3 linked regions of the Ovis aries genome follow. The protein of the gene in region 1 interacts with the protein of each later gene in a pairwise test. Links are inferred from orthologs where the notes say so. Each region holds a gene or a part of one and is shown in the gene's direction. Other genes may lie near its edges. The genes, in order: GPKOW, TCEA2 and SH3GL1.

The links.
Region 2: the proteins of GPKOW (region 1) and TCEA2 interact in binary tests that used the Homo sapiens proteins (3 or more experiments, as listed by UniProt). The two-hybrid records come from large-scale screens. The link is inferred for Ovis aries from reciprocal best matches to the Homo sapiens genes GPKOW and TCEA2.
Region 3: the proteins of GPKOW (region 1) and SH3GL1 interact in binary tests that used the Homo sapiens proteins (3 or more experiments, as listed by UniProt). The two-hybrid records come from large-scale screens. The link is inferred for Ovis aries from reciprocal best matches to the Homo sapiens genes GPKOW and SH3GL1.

The regions. Positions count from the first base shown.
Region 1 is NC_056080.1:56,002,265-56,006,692, forward strand, and holds part of GPKOW (G-patch domain and KOW motifs-containing protein), read left to right. Parts: 5' UTR 1-1,101; coding exon 1,102-1,262; intron 1,263-1,765; exon of another isoform or gene 1,766-1,855; intron 1,856-2,169; coding exon 2,170-2,324; intron 2,325-2,423; coding exon 2,424-2,548; intron 2,549-4,389; coding exon 4,390-4,428. UniProt on the Homo sapiens protein: RNA-binding protein involved in pre-mRNA splicing. As a component of the minor spliceosome, involved in the splicing of U12-type introns in pre-mRNAs.
Region 2 is NC_056066.1:53,508,186-53,513,345, reverse strand, and holds the start of TCEA2 (transcription elongation factor A protein 2), read left to right. Parts: upstream 1-1,724; 5' UTR 1,725-1,860; coding exon 1,861-1,932; intron 1,933-2,458; exon of another isoform or gene 2,459-2,616; intron 2,617-4,601; exon of another isoform or gene 4,602-4,663; coding exon 4,664-4,726; intron 4,727-5,035; coding exon 5,036-5,141; intron 5,142-5,160. UniProt on the Homo sapiens protein: Necessary for efficient RNA polymerase II transcription elongation past template-encoded arresting sites.
Region 3 is NC_056058.1:17,515,451-17,520,480, forward strand, and holds the start of SH3GL1 (endophilin-A2), read left to right. Parts: upstream 1-1,894; 5' UTR 1,895-2,091; coding exon 2,092-2,136; intron 2,137-5,030. UniProt on the Homo sapiens protein: Implicated in endocytosis. May recruit other proteins to membranes with high curvature.

The DNA.
Region 1 (4,428 bases):
ATGGTTTCCTTGGGATGAATTTTTAGATTTGTAGTTTTCTTTCTTATGACTATTTAAGTATCGGTCTTCTACTTTACAAACTCTAAGGTCCTACTCAGAGGACTGTCTCATTAATCTTCTGAGGCCTTAGGAGGTGGCTCTCACAACATTTAAAGTTGTTAGGAACATTTTTTTTATCCGTTTTGAGTGTCATTGTTTCCCACTAGACTTGGAGTCTCAAGAGAGGAAGCCAGACTATTTTATTAATACCACTGGCCTTTGAACGATGTAGTGATTAGGGGCAACAATGCAGGGCAGTCTAAAATCTTCCAGATTCTGCATCTTCAGATTCAACCAACCTTGCATCCAACCGACCTCACATCATGTAGTAATGTAGTAGGTTATTTAGTGAAAGATCCACGTATAAATGGACCCTCACAGTTCAAACCCATGTAATCCAAAGGTCATCTGTATTTGAATCTAGAGTTTGTCCACTATTACATCTATCATCTTGAAGGCACCACTTACATGTCTATTATTTATTATTGTACACAATTGGCACTCACAGATTTTTTTCTTAATTATTTACTTTCCCTACTTTCCCACACCAGTAGGGCAAAGCAGGCGATTAATAATGCCCACACATAGGAATGAATACTTAGCAAGAACGAACCCATCTTCTATCACGCCTACCTTCCCCAAGAACCCACCTGCCAACGCAGGAGATGTAAGAGACGTGGGTTCCATCCCTGGGCCAGGAAGATCCCTTGGAGGAGGGAATGGCAACTCATGCCAGTATTCTTGCCTGGAGAATCCCACGGACAGAGGAATCTGGCCTATGGGCTATGGTCCATAGGGTCGCAGAATCGGACACGACTGAAGCGACTTAGCACGCATACAGCTTCCCTAAGAACTACATTTCCCTCTATGCTTGGCGTCACGCGCTCCTGTGAAGTAAAAAGAACGGCAGTTACTTCCTACGGTCTCTATCCGCCTTCGCCGGCCAGTGCCGCAATGCTTCATGGGAAGGGTAGTTCTACCGGTCGTGCTCAAGGCCCCGGCAAAGTGAGCGTAAACTAAGCTTCCCAGAGAGCAGCACGACGGCCTGGGAAGAGGGGCAAGATGGCGGACGCCGAAGATGGTGTTTTGCGGCCGACGGGATCCTCCACTGCCCCGATTTCCTTCAGCTTCAATCGCACGTCCGCCCGAAGATGGCTAGCGGGAGACACGGCTCCGGAGGAGAAGGATTTCTTGAAGACCGTGGAAGGCAGGGAGCTGCAGAGGTGAAGTGCTGGGACTTTCATCCCTTGGAAACCGGTGCGGTGGGTGCCTGCGGGAGGGTGGAATCAGTTCATGTCTTGGTGACAGTGGCCTGGGAAGTCTGAAGGACAGCCGGAGAAAATCTGTGAAGGAGAAAAGTCGGGAGTCAGTAAGAGAGGTGGGGAAATTGGATCTGTTGGCCAGAGGGGTTGAGAGGAGAGGATGTATTCCTGAGAGAGGATGTGTTTAGGAGTCGGGGGGCCCTGCGGAGCGTGTGTTTGTGTTCTGAAAGAAGAAAAGGAATGAGAATGACAGGGCTCCTAGTGGCCCAGGTGAAGCGGTGAGGCTTCTTCGATATGGGGACCGGAATTGAGCGCCAGATTCAGGTTGGGGGGAGGCTATCATCAGCTTAATTCGGAATGGACAGTTTGAGGGAGGTGATTCCAGAAGAGAATCAACCATCCAGGAGGCTGGTATGGAGCCTGGAACTGGGGGGAGAGTCTGGGCTGAAGATGGTGATTTCTAGGTCCTTGTGGAAGCCACAGAAGTGGGTCTTGGGATGAACAGAAGGTCCAGAACTGAGGACTGATTCCACGAAGGCACTGACATTTAAGAGGTGGGGAGAGAGGGTTCTCTGGTGGTCCAGTGGTTAGGACTCCGTGTTTTCATTGCAGGGGGCCCAGGTTTGACCCCTGGTCAGGGAACTACTATCTCGCAAGTCACCGGGTGCAGCCAAAAAAAAAAAAAAAGTTTGTGGTGGGGGAGAGAATCCAAAGAAAGCACCACTAGGGTATAACACGAGAACAGAGGGCGTGATCTATGGGGCTGGGGGTGAGTGTGGCTCTTGTGTTTCTTCTGAGTGAAGGGTTGTGGCTCAGGACTCACTGCTTGTGCTACTCTCCCAATTTCACTCCTCTGTGTCCACATCAGTGTGAAGCCCTCAGAAGCCCCCAAGGAACTTGTCATCCCTTTGATCCAGAACGGCCATCGAAGGCAGCCACCAGCCCAGGCCCCTGGGCCATCCATACATACTGAGGTCTTGATGGATGGGATGCTGTCCCAGGCTGTGAAGGAGCTCATTGAGGGTGGGTAATCCCTCCTTTGCCTTGCCCTAGTGAAGGAAGAACGGGAGGAAGATGGAAGGAGAGGGTGGGACCTCATTGCTCCCTACCATTCTTCTTCAGAATCCAAGAAGTCTCTGGAGGAGAGAGAGAATGTGGGTGTTGACCCCACACTCACTATCCCTATGATCCAGAAAGGATGCATCCCCAACGGAGAAGGGACAGACAGCGAACCCCAGGCTGAGACAGTGAGCTGGCCCCTCACCTCCCCGCTTCCCCAGTCTCTCATTTTCCTGTCTGCCAGGCTTGTCTCCCTGCACCAGCAGGAAAAGTCTGTGTGTATACTACAGGTCTGCCACCTCTCCCTTCCTTCTGTCCTTTTTGGAAGCATTGACAAATGAATCCAAATACTGAGGTGTGAAAAGGTTTGGACTCTGGGATTATCTGAAGGAGGTGAGGAGCAAAGGGAACAGGAAATGTAAAGATCCTAAGGGTAGACTCTGCTTGGAGCATTTGAGGAACACCAGGGAGACCAGTGTAGCTGGAGTGGAATGAGTGAGAGGGAAGGGTAGCAGATGAGGTCGCAAGTGGGCCATCGTGAGGACTTGGGCTTTTACTCTGAGTGGGATGAGAGCAATGAGAGGGCTCTGAGCAGAGAAGGGACAATACTTATGACTTGACAGGCTCTCTCTGGCTGCTGTGAGCAGAACAGACTAGTAAGCAAAGGTGGAGGCAAGGAGAGCAGCAGTCCATGCTAGAGGTGATGGTGACCCAGACCAGAGTGGTAAGAGTGAGGCCAGGAGGATAGATAGGGTTTAGTGAGAGAAGGAAGAGGAGGTTGAGTGCTCCTAATGGCAGCAACCACCCAGACAATGGCATAGTGACAGGAAATCAGCATGGTATGTGTCCATCAGTGACACCTTGATGTGTCTAGAGTGAATATAAAGAATTAAGGGAGTGATGATTCTGATAACAGGAGAGATGAGGGGTGTGTCCACAGAAGTAACCAAGTCTGCCTTTCATACTCATGGACCCTACTTTCCACCTGTTCCTTCACAATTTTTTGGCAATGCTTATTTGGGTTCTAGTTCTCCTACAGCCCCAAAGCGGAGAGATTCTTTCAACTGAACCATTCTCCTCAGTCTTCAGACAACCTCTGGGTTTCTTTCATCTTAAAAAAGACCTTCACTTCACTCTCCATCCTGTTCCAGTTTTGGCCTCCTTTCCCTGATTTTCCCTCCTCTCAGAGCCTTCCACATCTCAGTCCATCACAGATCCATCCATCCTTCCTCTCACTCAGCCTAAAAACCTTAGAGTCATCCTTGAATCCCTTCATTTCATACCCTATATACTGTCAGCAAAATCCCGTCATCTCTCTTTTCCACAACTCCTCTGGTCTGAGCCACCAGCATTTCTCATTTGGACTATTGCAGTAACTTTTTCACTGGTCCCGTTGCAGCTGCGATCCTATCATGGCTTCTAGCCAGCTCTCCTGATTAATCTCTTACCACCCCTCTTTGCCTCCACATCTGTTTCAATCGCATTGGCTTTCACGATGCTCTTCACACACAACAGATCTTGTCCTGCCTTGGGGCCTTTGCTTTTACTGTCCTCTCTGGAGCACTCTTCCTGTATCTTCAGGGTTCCCTCTATCATCTCCTTTGGTCTCTACTCAAATATCAACTTGGTGACACTCCCTTCTCCATCCCTCTGCATCCCCTTAACCTGCTTTATTTTCCTTCATCTGACTTATCCCTACCTGACATATCATGTTTTAGGCATTTCATTTATTCTGTCTCCACAACTAGAATGTAAGCCACACAAGGGCAGGAGTTTCTGTCTGTTTTGTTCACTGCTTTATCCTCAGCACCTGGAACAGTAGCTGGCACAGAATAGATGCTTTATAAATATTTGTCCAAGGACTGAACATGGAGGAATAAAGTGAGGGATGATGAGAGGAAAGAAAAACTCACCCTTGAGCTCACTGGAAAAGAAGCCTCAAGTGTCACTCAGTGGGTGATAGCAAGTACACTTCAGTGGGCCCATGGTAAGCCAAGCCTGACCGTCCTTCCTCTGCCTAAACCCATAGGTGCCGGAGGAGGCTGATTACGAGGCAGTCCCTGTAGAG
Region 2 (5,160 bases), on another chromosome or scaffold:
TTCTCCAAGCCAGGCTTCACCAGTACGTGAACCATGAACTTCCAGATGTTCAAGCTGGATTTAGAAAAGGTAGAGGAACCAGAGATCAAATTGCCAACATCCGCTGGATCATCAAAAAAGCAAGAGTTCCTTAAAACATCTATTTCTGTTTTATTGATTATGCCAAAGCCTTTGACTGTGTGGATCACAACAAACTGTGGAAAATTCTGAAAGAGATGGGAATACCAGACCACCTGACCTGTCTCTTGAGAAATCTGTATGCAGGTCAGGAAGCAACAGTTAGAACTGGACATTGAACAATAGACTGGTTCCAAATAGGGAAAGGAGTACATCAAGGCTGTATATTGTCACCCTGCTTATTTAACTTATAGGCAGAGTGCATCATGAGAAATGCTAGGCTGGATGAAGCACAAGCTGGAATGAAGATTGCTGGGAGAAATATCAATAACCTCAGATATGCAGATGACACCACCCTTATGGCAGAAAGTGAAGAACTAAAGAGCCTCTTGATGAAAGTGAAAGAGGAGTGTGAAAAAATTGGCTTAAAACTCAACATTCAGAAAACTTAAGATCATGGCATCTGGTTCCATCACTTCATGGCAAATAGATGGGGAAAGTGTGGAAACAGTGGAAACAGTGAGAGACTTTAGTTTTTTGGGCTCCAAAATCATTGCAGATGGTGACTGTAGCCATGAAATTAAAAGATGCTTGCTCCTTGGAAGAAAAGTTAGGACCAACCTAGACAACATATTAAAAAGCAGAGACGTTACTTTGCCAACAAAGGTCCGTCTAGTCAAATCTATGGTTTTTCCAGTAGTGATGTATGGATGTGAGAGTTGGACTTTAAAGAAAGCTGAGCACTGAAGAATTGATGCTTTTGAACTGTGATGTTGGAGAAGACTCTTGAGAGTCCCTTGACTGCAAGGAGATCAAACTAGTCAATCCTAAAGGAAATCAGTCCTGAATATTCATTGGAAGGACTGATGCTAAAGCCGAAGCTCCAATACTTTGGCCACCTGATGCAAAGAACTGCCTCATCTGAAAAGACCCTGATGCTGGGAAAGACAGGGTGGGAGAAGGGAAAGACAGAATGGGAGAAGGAGACAACAGCGGATGAGATGGTTGGATGGCATCAGCGATTCAATGGACATGAGTTTGAGTAAACTCCGGGAGTTGGTGATGGATAGGGAGGCCTGCCGTGCTGCAGTCCATGGGGTCGCAAAGAGTCGGACAGGACTGAGCGACTGAAGTGACTGAGTGACTGAGGCCTCCAGGGTCCCCGAGACCACAATTCCAGCCAGAGCGCTCAGGGGCTCGGCGCAGGACTGGGATCGGGCAGCCGCCCTCTGGACTGAAGAAGGTGGCGAAGGAGGGCTCAAGAGGTGGGGAGAGGGGACCGACCCTAGCGTGCCTTAGCGGCCTCTTGCCGTCGGACCCGGGTCGCCCCCGCGCGGTGTCCGGAGGAAAGTGCAGCGTTCGGCGCTGCGGGCCCTACGCATGGCCGGGTTCCGCGCTGCCGCAGCGCCCTCCGCCGACTAACGGGCCCGCGCGCGTTCAGGCCTTGGGCGGCGGCCCGCGTCAGAACTACACTTCCAAGGATGCCTTGCGCGCCTACCTGGCTCCTGGGAGTTGTGGTCGGGAGCGGGGAGGGCTCGCGCAGGGTGGGCGGGAGCGAGAACTACATGTCCCAAGATGCAGCGCGGCGTCGCGGGGGCCGGGGGTTTGAACGGAGGGTCTCCCGCCCGTGGCGGGGCTGCGTCTACTGCGGAGGGTGCGGGAGGCTGCGGCGGCCGGGGCCGGGGTCCGGGCCGGGAGGCTGAGGCTGGCACGGCGGGCACTGGGGGCCCTGCCCCCAAGGCGATGATGGGCAAGGAGGAGGAGATAGCGCGGATCGCCCGGAGGCTGGACAAGATGGTGACCAAGAAGAGCGCGGTGAGGGGCGCGGGCCGTCAGGACCCCGGGACCCCCGCCCCGCCGAGCCCCCGCCGAGCCTGCCGAGCCCCCGTCAGGGTCGCGGTGACCATTCGAAGGGCAGGACGAGGCTCCGCCCTGGCAGAGACTCTCAGGACGCGGGGAGACCCCCGCCAGAGGCCGAGACCCCCATCCTGGGCCAGCCCTAACCCTTCACCTCGCACCCACGGCAGAGGCCGCGATCCGACCTGGACCTTGTCCCGGGAACCACCCGCTTTGGACTCAGACCCCAACTGTCAGGCTGAGACCCCGCGGGCCTGGGATTTGCCCGTTTCCACCCCTCACTCCAGACCCCCTCGGGAGGCCGGCCAGGCGGAGACCCTCCTCGGCCCCGCCCCTCCAGGCCTCGCTGAAGTCCGGGCCTGTACAGCCCTGACTGGCCGCCCGCCGCCTTGGCCTTCATCCTCCCCATCCTAGGCATCCTCGGAGTCCCCCAGAACTCCCTGCCAAGGCCCACCCCGACTCAGAGCCCTCTGTCCCACCTTAGGTCTCCCACATCCTTTCTCCGCCTTCAAGAGTTTGGAGTGTGAGATTGGACCCCTTGTTCCCTGGAGCTGTGGCGCCTCCCCTACCTCTGCCTGGTCTGGGGCTGCGGCGGCCCCGACGTCTCATTTCTCCAGCCAGCCGGCCAGAGGGCTTTCTTGGGTGGGAAGGCCTTTTTTTTCCTTGTCTATTCAGTCGCCCAAGAACCAGGTTGCCCTAATAAATTCTTTCCCTTCCATAGCCATGGCTCAGCCAGAAGCTCCTGGGGAGTGGGTAAATGCGTAGGCACCTTGGGAAAGAGCCCTACCTAGGAGGCCCTGAGCCTGCCCTGGGAATCCCAGGGCCGCGGACTCCAGCCAGCCATGCTCGCTGTGGGGCTGGTCCTCCATTGTCCCTAGGCCAGTGAACCTTTGGGAAAAACTGAGCTGGGGCTCAGAGGGCCTAGCAGATGGGCCTCCAGTTCCAGGCCCCTCTCAGTTTTGGGCCTAGGTGACCTGCGTACCCTCATAGGAAGCATCTATGCTGGATGGTACCTGCCTCTAGGGGTGGGGGTGGGGGGTCCTGCTGCTCCTAGAGAGGCTCAATAAACAAAACCTGCTCTCTCCCCAGACTCAGCTCCTGGGGTGGGTGAGTGGTGGTGGCAGTTGCGGGGGAGGTTCAGCTTGGGGCTTAAGATGCCTGCCCAACCACCTCAGGGCTGGTGGTTTGGGGCTGGCTTTTGGGCTGAGTATGGTTGAGTCGGTCTTTGGACAGGGTTCTCCACCCAGGCGGTGAAGGGGGCTGATTCCCATGCTATCATTCATCTATCAAGCAACAACACTGCCTCGTCCCCAAACCCTGCACAATGTCCACACCCCTGGGAGGCAGTGGGCAGCCCAGAGCAGGGGTGTGGGAATGTCTATGGCTATTTCCAGAGATGCCAAGAGAAAAAAGTTGCTTTCCCCAGAGGAGACAAAACAAACGCCCTCCAGGTCGGGGCAGAGATGGGTCATGGGACCCACGGAGGACTGGGTGGGGCCAGGCAGGGCTAGGGGAGGGGACACCTAGGTGGAGCACCATATGGATGGAAGCCCAGGGGAAAATGAGGAGGGGGGACAGGTATGGACTGGGAAGGGCGTGAGAAGGTTTGAGGCACCATGGACCGGTGAGTGAGAGCCAACAGAGAATTCTGGTGGGTCCCAGTGCCTTCAAGGCCCCTTGGGGAGTAGGGGGCCACGACTGGGAATCCTGTTTTATGCCTCCCTGGTCCGGAGGCATCAGAAAGCTGGTATCCTGCAGCCTGGGGCACCATTCTGGGGAAGATGATTGCTGAGTTGCACTGTGCCCTTGTCTCTGGTGACCATTTGTCCCCTGTGAGGAGCTTACCATGGGGCTGGACTCTGCAGCCCAAGGGGCAGGACTTGCCAGGGGTGATGAGGGTTAGGCTGCAGCCTGAGCAGAGGTGCCATCCAGATTGGGGAGGGGCAGGTTGTGCCCCTCCCACAGCTAGGCTGCCTTGGGTGGCTGCCTCCCCCATGTCCTCAGACACACACACGTGAAACCTCACTGGTGGGTTCCCCGAGGCTTCTGTGGAGGAAGGCAAAGCCCGGCGTGGGTGGGGTGGTGCAAGGCCTCCCCCTGACTACAGAGCTGTGGTTTCAGCAGAGCTCTAGGAGGAGATGGGGGCAGGTGTGTTGCTGGTGGTGGGAGCAGCAGGGCCAGCGGTCCTGAAGGGCCCCAGGGAGCTGTCTGCCGTGGCGTCATGTGGCTTGTGTGTGTGTGCCCCGGAGGAAGCAGATGTGGGCGAGAGTGCTGGTCAGAGAAGGGAGACAGGGCTCTGTTGGGCCAGGCGAGGTGACACAGCTGGAGGGAGTGAGTAGGGTGTGGGGGTTCATGTGAGGAGAGCAGAGGCCCCTGAGGTCTTGGCCTCAGCAAGGGGCGCTGAGGAGAGGCTGCCAGAGTTCCGTGGGCAGAGGACATGGGACCAGGCAGGAGTGGGCACTTCTCAGGGCTGTGTTTCTTCCTGGTATGGCACCCCTGCCAGGGAGGGCTGTGGCCCTTTCCCCTGTTGGCCCTGTGGTGGGGGGTTAGCGTTCCTGGGGCATCTGACCCAGGTGGGTCTCCAAATTGTCACTGCCTGTGTTTGTTCTCCCAACCCTTGTGTGTAGGATGAGGTGGGCTTGCCCACCAAGAGCTGAGAGTCATTTACGTGGGCCCTCCCTTCTTCCAGGAGGGAGCCATGGACCTGCTGCGGGAGCTGAAGGCCATGCCTGTCACACTGCATCTGCTGCAGGTAGGGCCCCATGAGCCCCCCAGCTCCCAGCACCTGGTGGGGCTTCCTGCCCCTGCCCTGCTTTTGGTTGGCATGAATCCCTGCCCCTGAGGAAACGGTCCCTGCCTTTCTCTGTTGCTCCATGAGATAGGAATGGGCATTCAAGAGAAACCGACGGTGTTTCTCACTGAGGCTCGTGCAGATGGAACGGTCACCCTCAGGAAGGGTGCCCCCTCCCCTCACTGGTCCCCAGCCTTGCCCTGTGGGAGTCACCATGGGTCTGTGGGGAGAGTTTGCCCACTGCCCCCAGCCTGGCCGCTTGCCTTGCAGTCCACCCGTGTTGGCATGTCCGTCAATGCCCTGCGGAAGCAGAGCTCGGACGAGGAGGTCGTCACACTAGCCAAGTCCCTCATCAAGTCCTGGAAGAAGCTCCTGGGTATGGGTCAAGCAGCCTG
Region 3 (5,030 bases), on another chromosome or scaffold:
TTCTTCGCCGGAAACACTTTCCGTAGCTCCTTCCCTGGTTGATTTCTACGTCAGTATCAGATCTTAGATTGAAATCCCAGGGGAACCTTTCTTCACCAGCCTCCAAGATGAAGTTACTACAACACTGTTCTTTTTCTTGGAACAATTACAGCTTGTGCTTATTTATTAACATGTTATTGGCTAGTGAATTCATTTCTGTTTTTATCGTCAGCTCCATGAGGACATGAATCATTTATCACAGTATCTGCAGGACCTACTGGTGACTTATTCATTAGTAGGTACCCAATAAATATTTGAGTGAATACATAAATATCATTTGATTGAACTGTGTGATCATGTCAGTTAAAAACTTCACATGGAACAGAGACCTTCAGAGTCAGTCTTTGAGCCTTAGAACAGGTTTTGTTCAGCACCAATTTACTCTCTCAAGCAAAGCAAAGTGAGAAGCAAATAATTAACTTAGTCCAATTTCAGAATTCTATTTATCTTGTAGATTGGATAATTACATCAGTAGGGTTGGTTGAAAATAATGTGGAAAAATAGGACATCACTTTGGGCAAGTCACGTCTTACTCAAGGTCTCGGTTTCCTTGTCTGAACCTTTAGGATATTTTCCTTTCTTTCTCTGACATTTTGGCACCTGAAATGATTTAGGCTGGTGGATCACCATTCAGGACACCCATCAAAATCACATGGGAGGTTTTTCACACTATTCGTAATAGCCCCATCAGGATCTTAGGGAGAGGTTGGGGCATGTATATTTTAAAGCAATAGTCTGATCAAGTCCAGTACCTTCTGTAGAGGCACTTGTAAACTTTCAGCAATCCTCTGCTTCACAAAATCGCTCAACTCTGTCAGAGATTTCAATACGGAAGTTGCAAGCACTTTAGTTCTAGTCACTTTATTGTTCTTCTTACAACCTGTAGTCAGACTTGTTATCTATTGTGCAACTGGCCCCAACCCTGCTCTTCTTTTTGGATTCATTTACTCATTTTGATTCATTCTTAACTTTCGATTCATACAACAAAAAACAACTGATGAAAAAAATCAATAGCCGTAAGCATATATGAATCTGAGAAGCCTTCCTGGAGGAGGTGACATTACAAATAGAGTTCTTTTATGCAGAAGGGATGGGAGGAAAGATTGGGAGGAAATGAGCAAGAGAGGAATACTGTTAGCAAAGCCCATAGGCAAAAAGGATCATGGGTTATAGAAGTCAGAAAAGGTGATGGGGCCAAATTTTACAAGCTTTGTAGGCCATGTCAAGAAGGCCTTAGAAGTATTCTAAGGCCAATACTACTGGCTTTAGAATTGGCCAGGGAATCGTGTGATCTGAATTATGTTATAGAAGCATCTTGCTGGCAGCCTTGTAACGGATGAACTGGAGGGGAGAACCTGAAGCTGGGCACACCAGAGAGAAGACTGGTGGAATGGTCTGATCAGGGCAGAGAGACAGTGGGTAGCAGAAAGGAGGTACAAGTCATAACCTGATGTCTGATTTGGGCAACTGAATGAATGAACACGGGACTGGAAGGGAAGGTGGTGGAAGACCTCAGAGGAACTGTATATAGCTGAGATTAGCGAACAGGCATGTGAAGATTTGTAAACTCAGCCTCTGGAGTTCTACCTGCCCCTTGGCCTCCCCAGCCTCTAAAGAAAGGTCTAAGCACTTTTCCTGAGACGTCAGGGCCACCTCCGGGACTCCAGGGGTCGCTGCAGCCGCTACAGCCCCTCTAGGCTCGCTCCAGTCCACTCATAGGCCGAGGCGGCCTCTCGGTTAGCAGGCGGGATGTGCGTGCACTCCCCCCTCCGGCAGGGGGCGCGTGTGAGCAGACGGGGGGCTCAGGGCGCGCGTGCGCGCGCGGGGGCCGGCACCGGAAGTGTGTGGTTGCCATGTAATATCCTGGCCGCGCGAGCTCGCGAGGGTCTGAGGCGGCGCCGGGGCGGGCGGGGCTGGTTTAAGGGCGGCGGAGGCGGTGCCGTAGGGGCCCGCTGAGGCGCGCTAGGGGCTGGTGGCGCCCGGAAACCTGTCGCCTGCGCGGTCCCTCCGGTTCGCTGGGTCCGGGCGGCAGGCCCGACGGCGGGAGGCAGCATGTCGGTGGCGGGGCTGAAGAAGCAGTTCTACAAGGCGAGCCAGGTGAGCGGAGGCCGAGGCGGGGCGGGGTGGGGGTGGTGTGCGGCGAGCCCCGGGCTCAGACTGCTCGGATGGGGGCCAGGCGATGCCAGGCCTGGCCCTGACTCAGGAGGGAACCGGAGGTAGGGAGGGGGCGATCTTGGCACGCGTCCCTCGCAGGGTGGGTACAGCCTAGGAGGGACAGGGTCTGCGTGCGAGGGCGCCCAGGCTCTGTCCGCCATGTGGGCTCCAGTCTCCTCGAGGATGGTGGGCAGACGGTGGAGGGGAGCAGAGATGCACCCAGAGGTTGTTCCCGGACATGGATCCCTCGCCTCCTGTCCTTCCCTCTAAAAGGTCAGGGAGGGAGCGGAGAGAGAGAAGAGGAAGAAGCCGTCCGGAGGCTGTCGACACAGAGAGCCCAGGGGCAGGGAATTCTGTGTCGAGAGCAATTCTTTTTTTCAAAGATGACAAACAGCCTTCTTAGTGGGCCGGGTGCAGAACTGAAAGGATTGAGTGAAAAGTCAATTTCCCACTTCAGTTCCTCAGACATCCAGTCCCTCTCCCCAGAAACAAGACTGTCACCAGTTAACCAAAGAGAAGTGTACGCCTCTTCTTTAAAAAACCCACGTAGTGGTAGCATGGTCTACACAGAACCATGTACTTGCTGGTTTTCATTAACTGTGTCTTGGAGATCATACTAGAGTCAGAATTCTCCACCTCGGGTCTTTCTCTGTCCTGGCAGCCATCCTGGGCACTCTGGGGCATTGAGCAGCACACCTGGCCCCCTCCCAGTCGATTTAGGAGCTCCCCCAGTTGTGACAACCACTGATGTCTCCTATGCTGCCAGATGTCTTTAGGGGAACCCCCCTTCTCCCCCCTCCCCCTAGAGCCCCAGCACTAGAGCCTACTGCTCAATTCTGTTGTTTTGTTTTGTTCTTTTGAAGAGATAAGATGTCATGTATTTCATCTTCCTTCTTTGCTTTTCCTCTACCTCCTCCTGGATCTTTTTAATGGGTACGTGATATTCCGTTCCATGAAGTCTACCATGATTTTTTTTTAACTATTTGTCTATTGATGGATGTTTAGATAGTTTCAAGTAGTTTTCTGCCATGTACAGTACTGTTATGAATAGCCAGTGAGTATCTCTGCTCACAGGTAGGATTGGCTTTACAGGTTAAGTTCCCAGAAGTGGAATGTGGAATCCAAGAATGTTTAAGTGTTCTACTTGTGATGGACGGAATAGGTGTTTTGGAAATTCCAGGCCCCGTTGTTCACAAATCTGGTGAAAGCTGAGTGGATCCGCTCTTCAGAAAACTAGGCAAATGTAAAATTCAGTTTATAGGCTCAAATCCAAAAAGTTCCCAGATTTCTCCATCCCTTAAGAATCTTAGGTTTGGAGTTTGTGTGGATGGACTCCAGGAAGGAACGAGCAATGGTCATAGGAATCCTTTAGGCAGTGCTGGCAAACCAGACTTTAACCCAGGACTTGGAGAGGTCCAGTGGGAGGGAAGAGAAATGTGTCCCCAGTGATACACAGCCGGGACCTTTGGCCCCTTGAGGGGGAAAGTAATGATCCTAGACAGGGCTAAAGATATTTGGGGTCTGTCTCTTGACTCCAGGCTAAACACTGGAGGAAGAGAAACTTAATCTAGATGGATTCTAGGGTTGTTGCTCAGAGTACAGCCCTGTGCTCCAGCAGGATGGAATGAGTAACCTGGCCCAGCAAGCCTCTACCTCCCCCTCCGCCCCGCCTCGCTGCACACTTGACCAGAGCATTTTGCAGTGCTGCTCACTATCTTGCACCCTGATGTAGCCCCTCATGTAAGAACTATAGGTCTTGGAAGAACTCCTGGGCCACCTTGTTCCTTCCTGTGGTCGGGTCTCTGGAAACCCTCCCCGCTCCAGCCTCAGGCTGGTAGCCCATCCTGCCCCCAGAAGACCCATTGTGCTGGAGGGACTAGCTGGGGCTCTCAGGGTGTCCACCTGAGCCTTTCCTCTCAGGGAAGGAAGAATGCCCTGCATTCAGACCTGAATGTAGCACTTAGAGGGAGCGCTTAGAAACCTGGAAAGCCCAGTGCAGCGTAAGCTGGTGGTTCAGATCAGTTTATTATCGCGGCATTCTGGGGCCCAGTCCCGAAGAATCACCGCCATGGCCACGCCCTCCTCTGGGAGCCGTCGTCTTGGCCTCGTGACCAAGTCCCTGTTGAGTTGTGCTCTCAAGAATCACCCTGGCTGTGTTCCATTCCCTCTGCAATAGTTTCCATAGACCTCCACTGTGGGTCTGGACATGTCCACCTCTCTGCGTATTTCTTGTGTTGATTTTAGAAACACCGCCTTCATCCTCTTTCTGTGTCCTCAGGATAGGATCGTCTGGGCCAGGTAACATTTCTGTTAAGTCTTAGTATATATTGAGGGTTCACCAAGTGAACATGTTTTAAACCAGTCTCTGTTGATCTCAGTCTCAGTCTCACTTTATCTGGCCCAAGGGTCAGCATACTCCCCTTTCTACACCAAAGGATTGGGGGGCATTTGTCTTCCAGTAGGACAGTGGTTCTCAGCCAGGGCCAGTTCCACCCTCTGGAGGACATTGGCAATGTCTGGAGGCATGTTTGGCTGTCAAAACTTGGAGGGAGGTAATTGTATTACAGTGTACTGGGCCCCAGATGTCAGCAGTGCTGAGGTTGGGAAACCCTGTTTTACAGTTTGAGAAAAGTGAGGATAATTTTACCCAAACCAAACCAAACAGCAACAACAGAAATCCCTCCTGGGCATTCTTGTGGCAGCTGCCTGCTTTTTCTAATTCTTGAAACAAGAGATAACCTGATATATGCAGATGGACACATACGTAAAACTCAGCACCCAGACACCGCATCTCCCCTGGGGTCCTCAGAAGAACCCCAGAGTATCTACTGGCATCT